2 linked regions of the Lepisosteus oculatus genome follow. The protein of the gene in region 2 purifies or fractionates together with the protein of the main gene of each other region. This does not show direct contact. Links are inferred from orthologs where the notes say so. Each region holds a gene or a part of one and is shown on either strand. Other genes may lie near its edges.

What was found.
Region 1: the proteins of pip4k2aa (region 2) and ahcyl1 purify together in Homo sapiens (co-immunoprecipitation; 3 studies listed by BioGRID and IntAct, counting the BioPlex papers as one, with this or other methods). This does not show direct contact. The link is inferred for Lepisosteus oculatus from reciprocal best matches to the Homo sapiens genes PIP4K2A and AHCYL1.

What each region holds. Positions count from the first base shown.
Region 1 is NC_090700.1:39,786,003-39,796,828, forward strand, and holds the start of ahcyl1 (S-adenosylhomocysteine hydrolase-like protein 1), read right to left. Parts: upstream 5,054-10,826; 5' UTR 4,256-5,053; coding exon 4,082-4,255; intron 1-4,081. UniProt on the Homo sapiens protein: Multifaceted cellular regulator which coordinates several essential cellular functions including regulation of epithelial HCO3(-) and fluid secretion, mRNA processing and DNA replication.
Region 2 is NC_090701.1:17,340,398-17,351,018, reverse strand, and holds the start of pip4k2aa (phosphatidylinositol 5-phosphate 4-kinase type-2 alpha), read right to left. Parts: upstream 5,082-10,621; 5' UTR 4,444-5,081; coding exon 4,303-4,443; intron 1-4,302. UniProt on the Homo sapiens protein: Catalyzes the phosphorylation of phosphatidylinositol 5-phosphate (PtdIns5P) on the fourth hydroxyl of the myo-inositol ring, to form phosphatidylinositol 4,5-bisphosphate (PtdIns(4,5)P2). Has both ATP- and GTP-dependent kinase activities.

The sequences.
Region 1 (10,826 bases), on a different chromosome or scaffold from region 2:
AATCCATATTTTAAAATAAAAAACTCTCTACATGATATAAATTTCCTAATTTAGTAACACTGGTAAATGGGGTAATTAATCTGTCCCCGGTAAGGCACCAGAGGCATGAATATTCAATTATGTGCTACTCTGCAGCTGCTGACATCCAACACTCTACACTGTCTCTTTCAAGCTTGCTGTAACAAGACACTTGTCCGTCTCTCAAAAACCATCAAAAAGGCTCAGATTTTCGCTTTCTTTCTTAACTGCAAAATGCAGCTTTGCCTGGCTGGTGCCAGAGCTACTTTGAGCAAAACGAGTATGGATTCAGAGCAGAAGCAGGTTAAAAACAGACGAAACAAAAAAATGGCGCTCTTCCCCGCTCTGTAGGGGTTGGACCTAGGAATGATTGCTGAATTTTTGTGTCTCTCTTCTGCTGTGTGCCAGGCCTGGGACTGCCTGCACCGAGGAGCTCCAGCTGCCAAGACCCGAGTCAGTTTAGGGAAAACACATCCACAATCGTTCTCACATTCCATATTGAATGTGTTAATTCCTAATGGCAGCAGTGAGCTTCTTGAAAAAAGAGCTTAAAAGAGAAACGTAGATGCAAAATTAAATTAGCTTAAAATATTCTAAACAGAGGTGCGGCTCAACAAACTAGAGGTGTGTGGCATGAAACTTATCACCGTGTTTTGGGAAGTTGCACCTGAAAGTCTCCGAGGAGCCCACAGTTGTGAACTCCTGACTTTACAATGTCCCTGAGAACTACAGCTGTAAGTGGAGTCCTGCGTCATTCCCTGTGTCCTTGAGATTGATGACACACACACAGACCCACAGAAACCAGCACACATGCAGATACACACAGACACACAGAAAGCAGCACACATAAGATCAGATAGCCAAATACAATTTCTTGCATTAGGAATTTGTCTTTTTGCTTGCTATCCATCAAACACACAGGTACACAGACAGTTAGAAGCCTGGGGTCAGAGTGCAGGGTCAGCCATTTATATGGCGCACCTGGAGCAGGTGGGGTTAAGGGCCTTGCTCAGGGGCCCAACGGAGTAGAATTCCTCTGCCAGCCGTGGGATTGGAAACAGACACACACATAAAGACACACACACAGAGAGCTGCACACATGCAGACACACACACAGAGCTGCACACACGCAGACACACAGAGAGCTGCACACATGCTGAATCACACACAGACATACAGAGCAGCACACATGTGGTCACCCACAGACCAGTACCAGAGCCTGTGCCATTGTGATCAGAGCAGTAAAAGGAACACAACTCTTCTCAGCACGCCTTTGACAAGTAAAGGCTGTAAGAGGGTCTCCTGGACCAAACGACTTGGCAAGCCTGATCGTGAGGACCTCTCACCTGCCCTCGCCACCCAGCCCACGGACAGTGGAGTTAGGAGAATTGCAACACACTGGCTCCGCTTTGAGACAGCGAGCTGGGGCGAGCGAGCCAGGGGAGAGACGGCACAATGCCGCTCTTTGTGCGGGAGCACCCAGCGCAGAGGTGGATGGTTTCCCAGCGGATGAGACGGGGGAACAAAGCTGAGGCTAGACAATGGAACCACACAAGGCCGTGTCCGCAAAGCACTCGCTGCTTGGATAAGCCCAGGCACCACTCTGGGTGAGGCTGCAGTAACACACCTGAGCTCACACACCTCCCTCTAGCCAGAATGAGCAAGTCGCTTATTCACGTTAAGGATGGGGGCAAACTGGAGTCTGTCCCTGGCACAACAAGGCACAACCCTGGACTGGATGCAGATCCACCAGTGGGCATGCACGCACACACCGCACATACACACACACCTTAGAGACCATAATTAAGCTGGATAGCATGCTTTTGTAAAGTGGGAGGAAACAGGTGAAAACCCATGCAAGCCACTTATGCGACATGCATAAGTGCAACATGCAAACTCCACATAGAAGGGTCTCCACTCTGTAAGCCAGCTCAGGGGTCTGTGGATCTGCTGGGGCTAACCACCACGTCACCATGTCACTTCCTCGCCGGGCTCTCCCGGGTGCTTGTTTATTTAGACAAAGCGATGGGGGAAGCTCATTAACTCTGTCCTCTTGGACTTTCTGTCTCAGCTACCAGTGAAACTGCACACCAGCTCCTGCGTTCAACACTGTACAAACACGAGGCCTACAGGCGGATCAATGAAGAGCGAAGCCACAGCTAGCAATCTCCCCACTCCTCAAGAAAGACGTGCCGAAACATTTAAAAGTCACATCCAGTCACAGCTAGAATGCACAATGATTCTGACACTCTCAACTCGCTGGAGGAGCAGTCAAACTCCCTGCGGGCCGTTTAAATCCAAAGGAAACACCGTGAGCGTTCAGCACATACCCTTGACCTTTGGAACCACACACACACGAACACACAAGCAGCGCCACAGACCTCACCCTCTTCACCCAACAAACTCAACACTCCGGACAGCGTGACGGCAGCAGACTTCCGCAAGGCTCTGCAGGGCACAGCCCAGCACACGGCCCACAGGAGGGCTCGTTTCAATGCCCCGTGACAGGGCAGAAAATCGCAGCCTGCCTTCATGCCACCCAGACCGCGCCGGTCTCTGTTGAGACACGCAACACACCCGCCACAAGACTCTTTTATTACGTTGACCAAATCCAATGATCAAAAACAGTAATTAAAGAACTTTATTCACAAAAAGTAAGCTATTCAATTTGTGGTTTCGCCTGCCATGACGTTACATCATTGTTCTTCCAAACAATGATACAAGGAACCAGTGACTAAAGCAGGCCTGGCCCCGTTGCAGACAGGGCACGCACAGAAACCACCGGGGCTCCTGCAGATCGTGGCACTGCGGCTCACAGGCCACACACAGCGCTGGCGAGAGAACTGACGCCCTTCCAACCATCCACAGCACTGGGCAATTCCCATCCAGAGATCCTCAGACCAGTCCGGACGACAACACTGCCTCATGTATTTCACATACCGCAGGTGCTCGGCAGGAGATCCATGTCAGTGGCATTACAAAGAATCAATTCTGAAATAGATGCAGATGCGTGTGAACAGGCCTGGGGCTAAATAACCACCCTGTGTAATTGTTCTTGACGGAAACAGGTTCACACTGAAAACGTGGGCATGAAGTGTGCATCTGTGGCAAGCCCTAATTTGGCCTGTCTGATTACAAGCACTTTAACTGAGTTTAATTACACACCCGAGAGTGTTACAGAGGCATGTCATAGTACCACCTTCAAAGAAAGCTGCCTACCAGCAGAATAGAAGACCAAAAACTATACACTACACTTTGTATAATTACATCTTACTGAGTGTTTTTCGCTGCGTTTTTTTTTTTTTTTGGGGGGGGGGGGGGTATTAAGAACGTGTGAACCTCTTAAATTCTGAAATGTCAGCTGGTAATGCCACACAATTAGGTATGATCCCTACTGAGATTCTTAAAGAACTAATTCAGCCAACGAACTCCTTTCTCGGCACAGCCCGGCCAACACGTTTCAAAACAGTAATGTCAATGTCTCTAGCGGTTATACGCCATATATAGGAAGAGGCCCGCGAATTATTTCCTGTCAAATTCATCTGTCATCTACAGGCAACCAATTTAAGTACGTAAATAAAGAACATGTTTCCCTTTCACTGGGTACTAAGCAGGCAAGGCTAAAGAAACGACTAATCGCGAAACCCACCGCCGGGTGAACTACAGCAATCGATAGAAATGACACTGCGGGCTGACTTCGCGATCTCAACTAATCAATGCGCTTTACCTGTTATCATGATACTACACGACGCATGTACTCTGGCTCACACAAAAGTGCTTATCCTTATTACTGGCAGAACGGTGCCTTCTACTGTGGCTGTTGTAACACTACAAAATAAATAAAACATGTCGAGTTAGGTCCTCGTCTTTGATGTCATTAACAAGAGCAACAGAGATCCAGCCGAGTCGCACAGGACAGACAGACCGCACGCGTTTGTCCGGGACTGCGGGCTCACAACTCCGGCGTCACCGGCTGCAACTACAGCTGCAGCTACATGCGTGAACCCCGTTTTTAATCCAGCCCCCACTCCCGGGGGGAACACGGAGCACAGACGGGTCTCACCTTTTTGACAGGTTTGTGCGAGGTGACGGCGCTGAAGGCGGAGGACAGGTCGCCCATGTCGCTGGTCTTGCCCACGGTCATCGCCGAGTATTTCTCCGCCACATTCTCGCTCTCTTTCACTTCTTTGCTGGCCTGCTTCATCTCCAACTTCCCGTCGCCCGCGGAGTCCGACATTGTACGCTAGTTGGATCTTACTACTGTACTACAGTGAAGAGTAGCGCCAGGTCTGTCTCTGCTGAGGCTCAGATTACTGCCTTCGGAACTGACACCTCTTCTCTGCGGGCAGGAGAGGCGGTCCGGCTCTACTACCGCAAAAGCGCATACGTTCTTGTAATTGTGGAAGGATGTAAATGCACTTGTGTGATTTTTGGTCTTTTTTTTTAATAATTACTGCTGTCGTCACTGCAGCCTTGACTTTGCCTTTCCTCCGACGCGCAGCTACGCAACACCAACCGGCTGCGGGCGGCGCGCGAGGAGGGCTGGAAGAGAGACTCGAGTCGAGTCGCGTCGCGCGGGCGGGGAGTATGGGAGGCGCTGGGGCTGTTAACACCGGTTCACAGAAGCTGGTGCCGGCTAGGAAACTGCGACCGTTGTTTCGCCATTGTGGCTCACACGGCGCCTTAGCAAGACTTCGTGACACTCCAGCGCCAGAGCTGTAATGGCGTCAGTTGCAGAACCATGCAATGCTCCTTGAACTTAAAAATTAAAGCAAAGACGACTGCGGTATGCGAGACATTGCGATTTTACATTGTTTTTTAAAATAAAAAGTGCACCTTCCTACAATGATACTTAAAAGCGTACCTTACTTTGCGTTTATATATGTATAGGAAGGGTACAACAATCCGTTAAACCCATGCAATTCCTTATCAATTTAAAAGCAGCAAGCTAAAGATGGATAGCCTCTGTTTCACAAAAGCAGTACTTCATTGAGCCAGAATTCAACTTTAATAAAGGTGCACACTATTCGTAACGATCAGCTAGGATCATTAAAAACATTATGAGTTTGCAAATGGACAACAGAATCTGTCTGCATTTCTTCAGGATACAAATCTGCACATGAAAGTCAATCGAACGTGTAACTGCTTTATCTTAAGCAGCGTCTACAAAATTAAACGAATGAGACGCGGTGATTGCTTAGTTTTTTTTGTATCATATTTGTATCTGAAAAAAAAAACGCTTTTCCTGTGAAACTGTTTGAAGTGTATGGTTTTGAACATAAGATCATAAAAGTTTTTTTCAGCCTTCAGAAATAGTTTATTTTATTGGTGTCTGCCTGTTCCTTGTATCTACTACATTCCAATCCTTTGTTTTTATTTGTGATAATTTTGTCTCCTTTGTCACTATAAAGCTACTTTTAAAGGCGCTGTATAAAGATGATTTTATCCTCAGTTCCAAAAATGTTTTTTTCCCAACGTGTTTTAACACTAAACTTGGTATATCTGCATTTGACGTATTTTTTTGTCATATTAAGATTGGTAGCCAATTGATTATAAACAATTGTCATGGGAACACAGCGAATTCCGCTGTCAATTTTAACCAACTGGTAATCACAATTTTACAAACCCTTTGGTTTGGGTAGGGATCTGTTTGTGTCATTGTATAAGAAGTCGGTTCTGAGAGAGTGTAAGTGCAGAGCTCCTTCACCACAAACCCAGTATCCCATTTACCGGTATTTTCTCAGCCTCGTTGCGCAGCTGTTCCTGAAATTAAAAACACCGCGGCGCCACTTAGCGAACCGAAACCGAATTATCTGAACCACCGCTAAGCACGCACCTGAGTCAGCGACTTCGGGGCAGGGGCGTAGCCACGGGTGGGCTTGAATGATCCTAGCCCTACCCAATCAGTCCAAAGTAATTTAAGATCCCCCCCCACCCCCTTGTTTGTGTTCCATGATTTGCTTTTTAATGTTACGTGTTTGATTTTTTTTCATCGTATGTGATTTGCTATTGGCTCGCTTTATCTTTTGTGACCAATAAGAAAATTATGTAAATGTAGTGCGGCGGTGCATGTGTAGCCGTAACCTAATTGTCTATCGCTGTCGTCAGACGACCAGACTATCTAGCGCTAGGTTTCTATTTATTAGCCAACATGGCAAAACAAATGCATATATTTAGGTTTTTCAAAAAGCCGCCTGTAGATGACCAGACCAGTCCCGAAACAAATAAAGACACATGAGATGCTACAGGCATCTTGGGTTTTAGGGAGAACAGCCTGGCTTCCCGAATACAAGTGTTTCTGGAACGCAAGAGCACGCGTTTGCTTGTAGCAGCTCGATACATGCTCGACCTGTAGGAGTTAAGCACGGAGAGGTTTTAAAATTTCTCCTGTAAACAAATGATAAGTTTTGGAATGAATGCCTAACATTAAGAAAATATTGACGGATGGATGCGATTGTGCATTTTACAGATAACTATTCGGATCACCTCTAAATGCCCTGCAGTATTTTTACGTGAACGACGTTTACATAGCTAAAATACATATAAAGTATGTATTTGACGCTTTTATTAGCAGACCTTTCTTGCAATTAAAGGTACGATTAATTGGTTAGCACTGTAATGCGACTATAACAATTCGGTGTTAAGTCTTGTGGGAAGTCACGAATATCCAAATTAGCTGTCTTTTGGCATCGAAAATAGAATACTAATGTGGGTTTCATACAAGTTTAAAAGCATCATGAAGGATCAAACAAGATCTTCAGAACTTAATATTTTAATAGCTTCGCAGTTTTTCTTCTCATGGCTCCTCGCTCGATATTACCCTCGGATGCATTTACTCCAACCTCTGAAACGTGTGTGCACGTTCTTCTGGTATGTTATGCTCAAGTCCGCTCAATATTTAAAGACAAGGTAAAAGCTCCGGGAAGTTGCCCCCCCTAGAGACAGCAGAAATGATGAAACCCACCTCATTCGTTAGTGCTACGTTTGTGGCGTTAAAAGTAGCGTTTGTGCTGCTTTTGTTTCCGAGATATAGCACCTTGTTTGTTTGGGGGTCGTGACGTCACTCAGCACCCCTTCAATGTCGTATGGAAACCAAACCGGTCTCATTCGTTAGTGCTACGTTTCCTGCTTTCGTTCCCGACATATAGCGCCTTGGGTTTCCGGTGATCACGTGACCATGCACGGTGACTTTGACCTCCAGTGACCCCGTTTGCCGAGTTCAAGCGCTCTTTTACAGTTTTGCTAGTACCCTTAACATTTTAATAACAATCAATATCCATAAACATATAAGTCTCCTTAGATGTGAATAATACGAAGACATGACGCATGCCAACAAGTAACCATCTATGACATAAACCTGTGGTTGTAATGTACGTAAAATCACCGTGATTGCAAGATCTATGGTTTTTATTTTGTAAGGCACATTTTCCTTTTCTTTTCCTATCGTGACACACTGTTGCCAAACGCGTAACTGTGTTTGATACCATCGCGACAAGACCTCCGCAGCACGTCATGATAGGGACCCCATGTATATCGCATGTATATCGCGGCACGGCAGTGTATATCACGACTGGTGCCTTGCTTCCATGCCACCCTGGCACCGCTGTCGCAACAAAGGTCTCATATCAGGACATGATATACCCAGATAAGATATGTCGCGATATAGACAGGGGGTCAGCAATCCTGTCAGGGTATATCCCATCGCAACATATGGACTCCATGTCGCGACATGGGGGTGGTGCATTTTGTCACGGTATGTCATATCGCGATATATGGGCTTCATGTCACAACATGGGCATGGCAGGTTTTTTAATAATAATGATAATAATAATAATAATTTTTTTACATATCACCATATATGAACTCCATGTCGCGACATGGGGGGGGGTATTTTTGCCGGGGTATGTCATATCGCGATATGCAGGCTTCATGTCGCGACATGAGGGCGTGGCATTTTTGCCGGGGTATGTCATATCGCGATATGCGGGCTTCATGTCGCGACATGAGGGCGGGGCATTTTCGCCGGGGTATGTCATATCGCGATATGCGGGCTTCATGTCGCGACATGGGGGCGGGGCATTTTTGCCAGGGTATGTCATGCAGGCTTCATGTCGTGATATGGCGGCTGCGCATTTTTGCCGGGGTATATCATATCGCGATATGCGGGCTTCATGTCGCGACATGGGGGCGGGGTCGTTTTGTCGCGGTATGTTATATCGCGATATATGGACTTAATGTGGCAACAGTGGCGCCATGACAGTGATACGCCAGTCGCAATGGGTATCGCGATGTCACTCTTATCGTGACCTGCTATCGGAGTCGTGAACGCGCTGCGGATGCCATGACATTCGTTGTCTGCTATTCAGTTTTTACCTCAGTGCGACTTCTCTTGATTGATTAGTAATTGGAAACCAATGGATGTGCTACTGTATATCCAGCGTGCTCATACAGCACACACGATTAACCGGGGCTACAGTATTTTTACCAAGAAGAACATCCATCGCCCATGTCTCTACATGTTCTCGGAACTTCCGCTGTGACTCTTTACCCAATCAGAGTGTCAGAATTCTGACTCTTCATCCAATCGCGGCCCGAGCTGTTCGGGGATTTAGCCAAATACGGGTCTGTTCGAGCTAGCAGCGCCAGGTGGATCGCTTGTTTACTGTCAATGAGAATCTATTTTTAAAATGCTTTACTTATTTACAAAATAACTACATCGGCTTATTTTTTAACTTCTTTATTGATTCACAATGTCACGTACTCTTCTAAATAAATATTTTTTTTTTATTTGCGATATAACTGTCGATGCTGCTTTCTGTAATGAATACATGATATTGGGACAATTTTAATCGTATATTTAAGGTAGGGGGAAACACCTTCTGCTTTGTACTTCAAAAATGAATAGAAATGTAAAGTCTATGATCATTATATCTCGCGACACGTCCTATCTGGGTATATCATGTCCTGATATGAGACCTTTGTTGTGACAGCGGTGCCAGGGTGGCATGGAAGCAAGGCGCCAGCCGTGATATACACTGCCGCGCCGCGATATATATGCGATATATATGGGGTCCCTATCATGACGTGCTGCGGAGGTCTTGTCACGATGGTATCAAACACAGTTACGCGTTTGGCAACAGTGTGTCACGATAGGGAAAGAAAAGGAAAATGTGCCTTACAAAATAAAAACCATAGATCTTGCAATCACGGTGATTTTACGTACATTACAACCACAGGTTTATGTCATAGATGGTTACTTGTTGGCATGCGTCATGTCTTCGTATTATTCACATCTAAGGAGACTTATATGTTTATGGATATTGAATGTTAAGGGTACGAGCTAAACTCTATCAGAGCGCTTGAACTCGGCAGACGGAGTCACTGGAGGTCAAAGTCATCGTGCATGGTCACGCGATCACAGGACGAACAAGGCGCTATACCTCGGGAACGAAAGCAGCACAAACGCTACTTTCAACGGCACAAACCGGCACAAACGTAACACTAACGAATAAGGTGGGTTTAAGCGTTTGTGCCGTCTGTATGGGGGGGGCACCTTCACGAAGCTATTTTAAATACAATATTTCAGGCGGAATTTGAATCTTGCGTTTTGTTGTCCTCATAGTGTTTTGCAGTAAAATATTAACTTCAGAGTAACTCGTAAAACTACTCAACAATCTAAAAGCAGGCACAGGAACCAAGCAACAAGTGAAAATTAGCTCATGCAGCTTTTCTTTAGCTAAAGACAAAGTCCTCATATGAGAGACCTTTGCAAACTAGCTGTCATTTGAACGGGAATTTGCCGACTCTAGAGACAGCGACGAGATTATCGCCATACTCAATTCCAAGCCCTGACGCCTGCGTCTGGTCTAGAAAGTCAAAACCTCACAACAGAAGTAGGCACTGACTGTTTGTGTGTGTCCGCCGTGACACAGTAGCGTTCGGCAGCCTAGGTAATTGTTGCTAAACCTGTGTGGTGAGAGAGAGACGGTATGTATATATAAGGTTCCGCTAATTCTGCTGTTTGATTATACCGCTCGAGGATTGCATTGTAAATTGGAGGGGTGCCCCTATGCTGGCAGGCCGGACAGTTAGAGCCCAGGGCCACCCACTTTTGCAGAGGCCCACCCAAAAATCAATTCCTGGCTACGCCCCTGCTTCAGAGTCTAATTTCTCAGTCGTGCGTGACAGCCACCATGCGGTCTCCAGCTGCGGAAGGACTACCTAACCCAAATACCACGTCTACTGTACAATGACAGACTCGTTACTCTTGAAAAACCCAGCCCAATACTGCTGTTTTAACTTTTTCATAAACGGTCAACACTTCAGTTAGGGCTTATTCCACTAGCGGACTGTTCAATTCTACACAGCACAATTCTGTTCGAACACGCCCCTTAATTCTGTAATTGATAATTGGTAGGATCAATGATAATTAAGGAACATGATGTATGAAGATTTTGAAACTGCGCACATGGCCGACGCCAGGGGAAAATCTGTAGGGGGCGGTGATATTTTGGTTGAAACGGAGCCCTTGCAACTACCCAAGTGAAATCTCGCAACCATGCCACTGATTAGTGCTTCATGATAGAAGACATGACGAACAATCTGGTATTTAGCGATGATGTACAGTTTCACGTTCATCAGCACTCTTGCGGTTACCATTGCCTGGAGTGACAAAAGACCATATGAGCTCAGTTTTGCAGCTACATCGACGGTTACGAGGTTCTGAATCGTTTAGAAAAAATAGTTGTAAAACCAACAGAAAGCACAAACTTCTACAACTACAGTCCTGGTTATATAGCGATTGTAAG
Region 2 (10,621 bases):
GATCTGACTGCAGATACAAGCATATCTGTAAGGGGGTAAAAAGTAATCTACAAATTCAGAGAACTACCAGAAGTGTACAACTACAGTCGAGTGAAGGTATGCCTTTGCATCTCTTCAAGCAAGTTTAATGCATTTGTACCTGAAGGCTATGACACAATAAGGCTCAGAAATGTGGACAAATTCATTTCTGGGGTGGAGAGGCAGAGTGAGGGCCAGAACGGATTGACACTTACTGGCAGCTGTGGTGTTCACAATCTTCGAGCAGTGTCGCCCTGCTCAAAAGAAACAGGAGGGTGTGGTGCATCTGAACATGGAGGGTGGTGTTGAGAGTGTGTGCAAATGTTTGGGTTCTGTCACCACTGTTTAGAGAGCAATAGCCTGGGTCAATAAGGTACAAGAGGAGTTTAAGTGCCATCAAAATCGCAAAGCTCTAAACAGAAATCCAATAAGGAGCTCTTTAAGCATTAAGGCAGCAAACAATGTCCTGTGCATTTAGTGCTTATCGTTTCTTTCACAATTTTTAGTTGGAGAAAAGGCCTTTCGCTTTTGTGTTGAAGCCTGCATAAAACGCATTCATAATGTTTCTTCCATCATCTGCCTCCTTTACAAGCAGAGCACTTTCCCTTTTTGTAAAAACATATTTCCATTGACCTGCGTGTATAAAGGAAGTCATTTTTAAAAAGTGTCCACATACAGTATCAAGCCCTTCACTTATCTTCCTCCACACCAGTCCTGCTTTTGCCAGATATGGAAGATGATTCTGAATTATTTCTTTTCAGAAGAGGAATATACTGTTATAATGGTTTGGTATTAGTGTATTTTACTGTATAGGATACAGTCAGAAGCTACATCATCCTGCATCTCTCAACTGCCAACCCACTGAAGCTAAGCAGGTGTGAGTCTAGCCAGTATCTGGGAGACCTCATGGGTCTGATTTCTGCTGGAAAAGGTTTTAGGGGGGACCAGTAGGGGGCACTCATCCTGTAGCCTGTGTGGGTCCTAATGCCCCAGTATAGTAATAGGGACACAACACTGCAAAAAAGGCACCATCCTATTTACAAGATGAGATGTAAATCTCTCTGTGGTCATTAAAAATCCCTAGTGTCCTGGCCAAATTTCAACCTGGCCTTTACCAATCATGGCCTCCTAATAATCCCCATCTGTGAATTTGCTTCAGCACTCTGTTCTCCTCCCCACTGATAGCTGATGTGAGCACACTGGTGCAATATGGCTGCCATCATCCAGGTGGAGCTACACATTGGTAGTGGTGATGGAGGGGAGTCCCAATTACCTGTAAAGTGCTGTGAGTGGAGTCCAGAAAAGCTATAGAAGTGTAAGAAATTATTATTTCTGTAACAAGTGGTAAATAGCCTTTACTTTTTTTTAAAGCAAATGTGGGATAATATGACATGACCACACATGATCATTCCAAAAAAGAATCTCCACTTCTTTTCCCAAACATTGTCTCTTTGTTCCGCTCTTCCTTCTTCTGAGTAGTACAGAACTCTGCTGGGGAGGAAATAACCACAGGCTGCCAAAAGCTCTTTGCCGGACCTAGGAATCCTGAACAGACAGTGCAATCTCATCAACTAAAGCTAATGCCATTTGTTACCAATGACTAAAGTGTTGACAAGTTTTGCTCAGTTACAGTAGGTGTAAATAAGTCAAAATGCAGACTTCAAATCAGCAGTAGACATAGAAAAAAACCCCAATATGTACGTTTGATTTGAGCCGGGACTAAAGCAGCTTACAGCAGTTCGCCCACCTGATGTCTAAATGCTAGATAAAGCAGTTTAATCCCCTTGTCTGGATGAAAGCTGGGACATTTGCTAATCGCAAATGCAAACTGTCAGAAGTTAATCACAGGTGCACAGTTCGCAAATCACCACATCATACTAATGGTGAGCCTGCTAAAGACGATGAGTTTAATACTGGAACACTCTGCACTACATTAGTACAAAAGAGAGTAAAAGAAAAATATATATTTTTCAAATACTACGATTACTGGTTAAAATTCAGGTCATCCCACATTGATCGAAAAAAGTAACATCAAGTCATAGAACTTCGATCTCCATTTGCATATTTCACTTGTTTGGCATTTATCACAACTATTGTGTAATGATTCCACTGAATTAATATCCCAATGTTCTGTGTTATTATTTTAACTCAGAGTTTCCCTTGACTTTAATGGCTGTAATTCATCCTTATCTTCAGAATACATCATGAATGTTAACCTCGCAACTACTTCTTATAGAAACTGGTCTCCATCAGAGCAGAGCAGTTACAAGCTCCACTTACTGACTGAAATTACCAGAATTGCAATCTTTTATCAAGATAACTAACATAAATCAGCATGTCATTGGAAATTATCTCCCCCCTGCTGTATAGTGTAGGGGAAACAATGTAGACCACTTTTAAAAGCCCTGAATCTTTTTATCCTAAAACCATGTCATACATTAAAAGCAATCCACAAATCAGAACTACATATCCCTGTGTGGTATTGGAAACCAATCTTTACTTTTGTCTGGGTATCTGACGTTTTGTTGAAGTGAAGTACGGTATGTTAACAGAATTTAATTTGCTAAAGCAGTGAAGACCATACTAAGGAACTTTTTGGTCGGGGTTGCCCCATTGCAGACAGAAGCGAAGGTTTTACATGAAGAGAGAATTAAGACTCCCAAGGAAAGCAAACACCTACAGTAGGAGTCTTTAAAGGGACTTCTGTACCACCTGTTGCCCTAATGCAGTAATACGCACTCCTAGTTTATGAAGGGTGGTCAGTCAAGAGTTTTTATAATCAACGCAGTCATTAAGTCTTCAACTACAGTAATTACATTCATTTAGGCCATCGAGGTTAGTTTTGGTCTCAGAAACGTTACTCAACATTTACTCAACAGGACCGGGGGTGTGTGTATGAGTAACGTTCCGGATTGGTGCACCATTCTCGGTTACTCGGGCTGGAGAGAAGTGGGATTTACAGTAGATATGCATCAGGTCTAGCAGCAACTTGGCTTTTAAGGGAAGTTGGAGTTGTTGAAATATCACTCAAAAGGAAATAGCCGATAAGTCGTTTTAGTGTGAGAAAGGGAGTAAAAAAGCCGTGAAATAATAGTTAAGTGCACTCGGCAAGCACATTTCTCTTAACTGATACAACTGTACGGACAGGCGAAGGCAAGGCTTTCCAAGTGCTTGTCTGTTAGATTCCCATAGGGCAATGTGAGGAATATGTATCTTTTACCGTCTGTTTAACTTACACAGAACACAATATTATTAATTACGACAACAATGATGATGTCCCGGATCCACAGCGCTTTGGAAAGCATGTTTATCGATACCAGTGTGTGGTGTTATGCAGGTATTGCACAAGCTGTCAGTTAGGAATTCTATTGATTTTGCAATTTACAACTGATGTAGTTGATGAGTGCTCCCAACACCAACACTGTGACCAAACTACAGTATCCAAATGCCGATTGCGAGACGAGATTTGCCATCGTTTGACAATTTTGAAAAAAACATCTTTCCGATTCCCACCCCCAATCTATACAAAAATGCCCCCTGCAGAGCCACCCGCATGCACCGTGTGTAACGTCCGGTTTTCACTTGCAAGTCGGGGGACCTCCACAACTTTCCGCCCGGGACGAGCTTCGGGACTGACGGGACCGGATGCTTTTCTTACAAACCCAACTTACGCTCCCCTCCGGCTCGTTACACACACGCACACGCTACGTAGTAGACGCGGCGCACCCGGACACCGTCTCCGCGGTGAGCAAACCACCAGGTTCCCCGGCCAACCACGACAACTCTCACAGCAACAGCGGCGGCGGCAGTCAGCACAACATCCCCACCTTCCAGACATTTAAAGATTGCCACACTCCCTTGGAAAACAGTTTAATTCATGACAGTTAAAAAGAGAGAGAGAGAGCGAACGAGCGAGCGAGCGAGCTTGACTTCCGAGTTCAATTGCGATTTGGGCACAACTCAAAAATAAAAAAAAAAGTCCAAGACGTTTTGATCATTTAATATTACGTCAGGAGTCAATGCATTCGCTCAGCTTCGCTAAGCAATCACACGCTTTTCAAAGGGGGTGCGGGCAACATGCAAATACGTTACAAAACAGTGTTAGGAGAAAGCTCTCTTTTTACAGTACTGTATCACGTATTATTTTGATTAAATGCGGATAGTGGGTGCATTTTTCACTACCCAGGCAGTTTAGCGCATTAAGTTTGATCAGCGGCACCTGAAGGTCGCCAGAAACCACGCAAGTAAAAAAACAAGACGTAATATTTGAAATCGTTTACTCACAGAATGGTTAACTCCCCACATCAGGACGCTCAGCAGAGGGTCGCTGGCACGGAACAGCTTGACTTTCTGAGCAACAAAATGTTTCTTCTTCGTCTTCGTTTTACTCGCAATTGATGAGGCAATGCCACTGACTGTAGCCATGTTTTACACTTAATTTTGCCTAATAATGACAGCTCACGTTCAAATTCAGGGTCGGTCTCTTTAACAACAGAACAGACCGAGAAAAAAGTATGTACACTTATGCTGCGCCTCCTGTCTTGGTTCTTCTTAAGATGTCAAGAGCCTATTCTCCTTTTATTTTTAATGCAGCTGCAGAATAAGCTCCTTACCATTTAGTTATCGGCATATCTAACCTAAAACAGCAGCTCCCCTTAAAAATAACCCTCCCCACCTTGCTTCACTCCAACATTCCCCTGTGAATACTTTATTGACGAGCGCGTTTGATACCCAGAATTAAAATACGTCTTCAAATAAAACAAAAAAAAACTGAGATTTCATGCAACATACACAGCTCAATAAACCAATGCTCTCAGTCCTCTGTGCTCTCCCCACTGCGTACCAGTCCTGCACTAAAGCAAACACTTTCCCTCTTCCTTTTGCACTGCTCGTTTCCTCCAAAAACCGCTGCTGGCAAATGATGGACGTCCTAAAATAAAAATATCCGCATTGCAACCGTGTTACAATTTTGAATTTGTAGGTTTAAAATAAGCAGCCTCTGTCCCAGCGCTTCCGGCCGGGTGCTGCTCTGGTGACTGACAGCCCAGGGAGGCGGAGGCCGGCGCTACAGCATGCAGACCGATTATTAATGCGGTTGACGTTTTCTAGCGTAGAAAACAGCGGCGGTAGGTAAGAAAATAAAAACGTTGTAACGGTATTTTGCTGCCTTTACCGTTTCGTTCTCAACCATAACTATAAAACTAGGAATAAAGTTTAAAAAAAGCCAACCGCACTCAAGTATACTTTTCGTCTTTAATTGTCATTTTCCATTTATTCACGCCTCTACTTGGGCAGACGTGACTTAGATAATTATTTAATTACTTTATAGGTATTTCATAAGTGTACACAAGACGAATGCCGAACTTTTTTTTATTCTAGTTATCATGTATTATTTATATATGGGACGTGAACATTCTTTAAGACTCGAAATTAAACAATTTAATTACGCAGGGGGGCACTTAAAACAAAAAAATATTTTGTATTACAAAGTGATACAAAAGCGTAGGTGTTCAATGATGAACTGTCTGATTTCACCAATCACAAACCAAAGCTACAAAGCTTAAGGGAGAAGACGGTAGACAGCTGACTCACGAAAGATGCATACAGAACTAATTCTTCATCACAAAACCTGTGGCTGATTATACTGTACGAATCCGATGTCTAATATAAATACAAAGGGTCAGACTAGTATTTTTAAACGGTGTTAGGAATGTAAACAGCTGCTTTATTTGTATTTGCAACAACAACAACAGCAACATTTGTTCCACATTTACAGTACCTGTTTGCAGTGGTTTCTGTTGTTCTACTTTTGCTACAGTTTTGTGTCCAAGAGTACTGTATGAGAGCAACACTGTAGTGTTTATGGTTAGTACTGACACTTAACCTAATAATAATTTACATCTGTATTTAATTAAATTAATACTAAACGAAAGTGCTGAAGTTGGATTACATTTATATTGTTGTCTGATTACCGAGATGAAACAATCTAAAATGATATTAACAATTAAATTTGCACAAGAACAACGGAATGTGTTCTAAATACAAATGGTGATTTGACTGGAAGTGCAGTTAATAGTGTTTTGTTTTGTTTGAAATATTTGATTGATATTTGTCATTAAGAATAGTTACACATGAGGGATTGTATATCTTCTTTAAATTGTGTGCAGTAACTTATCATTGTTGATAAACATCCCCCTAACTCACACAGAGAGAAAAGACAGCAATCGTGATTAATCATCATTGGGCCCAATGTATGGAAACAAACTTACGATTCACTGTAGAAATCTGTGGTTTCAATAGTTTAATAGTTAGTCCATGTGACAAACACAAAATAATAAAATATATCTTTCAATGGTTAAAGACCCAAATACCTTTACATAAGAGGATGGCATTATGATAAGATATTTAGTCTTTTTAAACTTCCAGAATCCCTGCAAATAAAACTGCCTCTTACTTTATAAGAAGTACGAAATGGTACTTTAAATATCATTACATTATGGTAGCCTGTTTAGTTATTCTTGACTTTCTTTAAAAGTCATTAGTAAAACAATGAAATCTAAAATGCATTAAACATGTATTCATGTTTCAATCAAACTGCATACAATCTACAGTAGTAGCCATTTAGTAATTCCTTTTAAAGTGTCACTGAAAATACCACAACACCAGTTAGGCACAGTGGATTTGAAGAAGGCAACACAAATCAACAGTCAACTAAAGTATCGCAATGTAGAAAACAAGAAGTGTGGCTTTATACACAAATAGATTGAGGGAAAGCACAGAATAGCATTCCTCAGTTGTTGAATTTGCGAGTTCTGAAATAAGGTGAAAAGTAAAATGGTGAAGTAACCAGTTAAAGAAAGAGGAAATGATCTGCCTGACCAATTGCTGTGGTTAGGCTACACTCTATAACTGAGCAACACTGCTACGGGGCTTCTCTAACCAGTGCCCATTTCATGGTAAGAGGTTGCAAAGAAGGACAAGGCTTTCAAAAGAAATAAAGAGAAGGGTTTATTTTTCCATGTTCGCAGTTTTTTATATTTGTGACTCCTTCAGGCAGTATTTAATGTAAAATTGTCTTTATTTCAGTATAGTGAATACTAGCTTTGATAACTATTGATGGTACAGGACTCCAAAAATACATCTTTATTTACAAAAAAAAAAATCTAGGGAAAGGTTGTCAATGATCTGTTGAAGTATCTTGTGTGTTTAATCCCCCAATTGTGTATCATATATACAGTACATATAATAAAACATGACTGACACATGATGGTCTCTAACCTTTCAACTGAAGTATTTGAATAAGATCACTGTCAAAGGGCAGCAGGGTGCTGGGTAGCAGCCACACAAATATAGGTATAGTTTACACTTTGGTCTAGTTTAAGACAAATTAATTAATTTAACCAAAGACCTGATTCAGACCTAAACTCAAATCTCTTATCACAATTTGTCATCATTCTATATATTTTATATGCTGCCCTCCCTCAGTAATGAACATTCTACCATTTTCCCTTTGAAGTGGTGACAACACTACTTTTCCTCTCAGACCTTTGACTCAGACATTGCTAAAGATTGCTTGCAGCTCTCCATCGGAGACAAACCAACCTTTAAAGGTTAAAAATGCTGACCTGGTGACACTGTGTAGGGGTAGTGGACTAGGGCACTGTCGACTCTAGACAGGAATGGACTGTCTGGATGGAAGAGTCAAAGGTGGCCACAGTGAGAAATGTTTTGTGCAGCAAAACCAAACATTGCCTTCAAATAAGATAACCTCATCCCAGCCATCAAGCGTGGCCTCAGGACCCAGCCATCCCAGCCATCTCAGTGCCTCAGGACCGAGAGGGCTTGCCATCGTTGATGGAATTACATTCTGAAGAAGAAGCCGAATCTAACACAACGTATGGAAATATCTTGGAACACTGGTTTAGTCATTATTGAGCCACTTTCTAACTGCTTTATCCAATTCAGCGCCGTGGAGGCGCCAGAGCCTATCCCGGCAAGCAACAGGCACAAGATGGGATACACCCTGGATGGGACACCAGTCCATCGCAGGGGGCACACAGACACAAGCATACACTCACACCAGGGCCAATTTTCCTAGAAGCCAATTAACCTACTGTACCAGTACAGTGTCTTTAGACTGTGGGAGGAAACCCATGTAAGCATGGGAAGAACATACAAACTCCATGCAGACAGCACCCCGGGTCCAGAATTGAACCCAGGGCCCCAGCGCTATGAGGCAGCAATACTAACCACTATATTACCCTGCCATCACATTATTGAACATGACCATTTATTTAACATACTACGTTTTACCTGGTTTTAAATTGTTGGAGAGCAATAACAAAAATTCTTCTACTTTTTAATAAGTTTAAAAAAAACTACAATACACAAGAAGAGAAAAGTTACTCTGAAACATTTCATAAGGTGTAGATTTCACCCTTTATTTTTTATATACTTAAATTTTTGCCTAGTTTGAACATGGTACTGATAAAAGAGGGACATGATGATTAGTTTATATCTTTAAATCCTAACCGATGCTACTGTATATCTCGGTGCATTCAGCCTTGAGAGAGAGAAATGCAGAGTGGAAGAGATCTCGCACTGATGTTGTCTGTAAGAATCCATTTCCTGTATGCTCTTTCTGAAACTGAGCAATACAAACACTCCTATACTATGTCATCAATTTGCAAATGTTTACATATCCCATGCCTCCACTGTAACAAAGATGCAAAAATAGGAGGTACAGTACATAATTCTGTCACTGTTATATGAAAATCATGCACAGGTGCCACAAGTAACATATAACTGCTCCAGGTCTTATAGGGAAGCAACTCTAAAAAGTAAATACTGAAGGAAAGCCTGTTCTGCTTGTTCATCTCTCACCCTGAAGACAGTCTTGACACCCAAGGACTGTCCTTTAATAAGAACATCCATGTAAGACAACAAGCGAAACCTTAGCATAAACTCTGCCTGCAGCACAGACTAAGAAAGACGTTCAATGACTATCAGGCTATATGACTGAGAAGTTTGTTTTTATTTGTATGAAAAGCACAAAATTAATTAAAAGTTATTAAATTAATGGACAATGTGGTAAATGAATATAGTAAAAACACCTAAAAGGTGGTATAATCCAATACAACAGCTAATATACATAGTAGAAACTATATGCTTATTATGGGGGCATTTACTATAAAACAGACTATTTATCAATGCATACTACAGTACATCATAAAAGGACATGCATCACAGAATGCACAGTTTTGTCATACTCTGGTACACAGGTCTACTAGTACTAGTACAGTTTTAAAATGCATATCAATAATTTATTAAATCTCTGTGTATGTACAGGCACTAAAGCTCTCTTAAGTAGTTACAACGAACGTTGTACAGCAAGTGTATGTACTCTACGAGCGTGAACATTCTCTTCAGTAGTTACAGTACAACAAGTGTAGTATGAGTGATATAACCTACAGGTAAACACATTCAGGAATCTGGTTTTGTACATATGTCTACTGAAATTTTCACAGTACCTTTGAAAAATAGTGCTGTGGGTAAATTTGGTGTGATATACTGGTGGACAATGGAAATACAAAAGTCTACGTTTTCCACCAGTACTTCATTGGACACATACAGTATAAGATTATTTACAATTAACATCGTGAGCCAGCCCAGAAGTGATGATTATCCAGTAGTACAATGGTACACTCATAAGGTCTTTCCATGTCCAGATTTTTATCATGATCAGAGTCCAGTAGAGCATCTGTGAGACTTATGTGCCAATTCCATCGACAGGAGACTGCTACTGGTCCACTATCCCACTGCTGGTCCATCCCATAACTGTCTACGCAGAGGGTGATTGGATACATGCCTCAAACCTGGATTGTGTGGATTGCAAATGACTAAATTCACCATGATTTCTCTTTACCAGTGTGCCATGCATCATATTGAAGATTATAATGATTCTCTTGACTGCATTTTGGTTCTACTTTTCTATGTATTTTTTTAGCTGTTAAATATAGAGATATAATCGACTAGGTGTGAGTGTTTAATTTCTTTTGTGCATCAGCTGACATTCATCTCTTATTTTTAATTGTAAAGCTTGTTTCTAGGTACTATGAATCACAACACTATCTCTTAAAGCTTAATTACAACTAGTTGTGAATGAGAATGTACAGTAGATACAGATTTACAATACATTTTTTTACTTTTAAATGCTCATAACTGGTTTCATTCCATGTATATCAGATGAAGAATAAATCACAAAAAAAATGCGTTTAATATCAGTACCATGGGCTGGTGGAATAGTACATTTCATTATCACTGTGGCTGTTTTCTGAATCTTCCTTCAAATATCAATTGGCAAATCTTACAGCAGGTGCTGTAAACCATTGATGGTTTTTAATTACAATTTTCGAAGACAAAGATAGACCATCCTGACTCCAGGTTTTTGAACAGGACTCAATAGTGGCTAAGTGTTGAATGTTTGACAATCTCTCTTTGTCCTAGGAACCACACCTGTAGTCCTAGATAGATGAGCTATAAGGTTCATTTACAGAGGACAGGTCTTGAAAGCGCTAACTTTTGTTGTACTTCTTAGCTACAA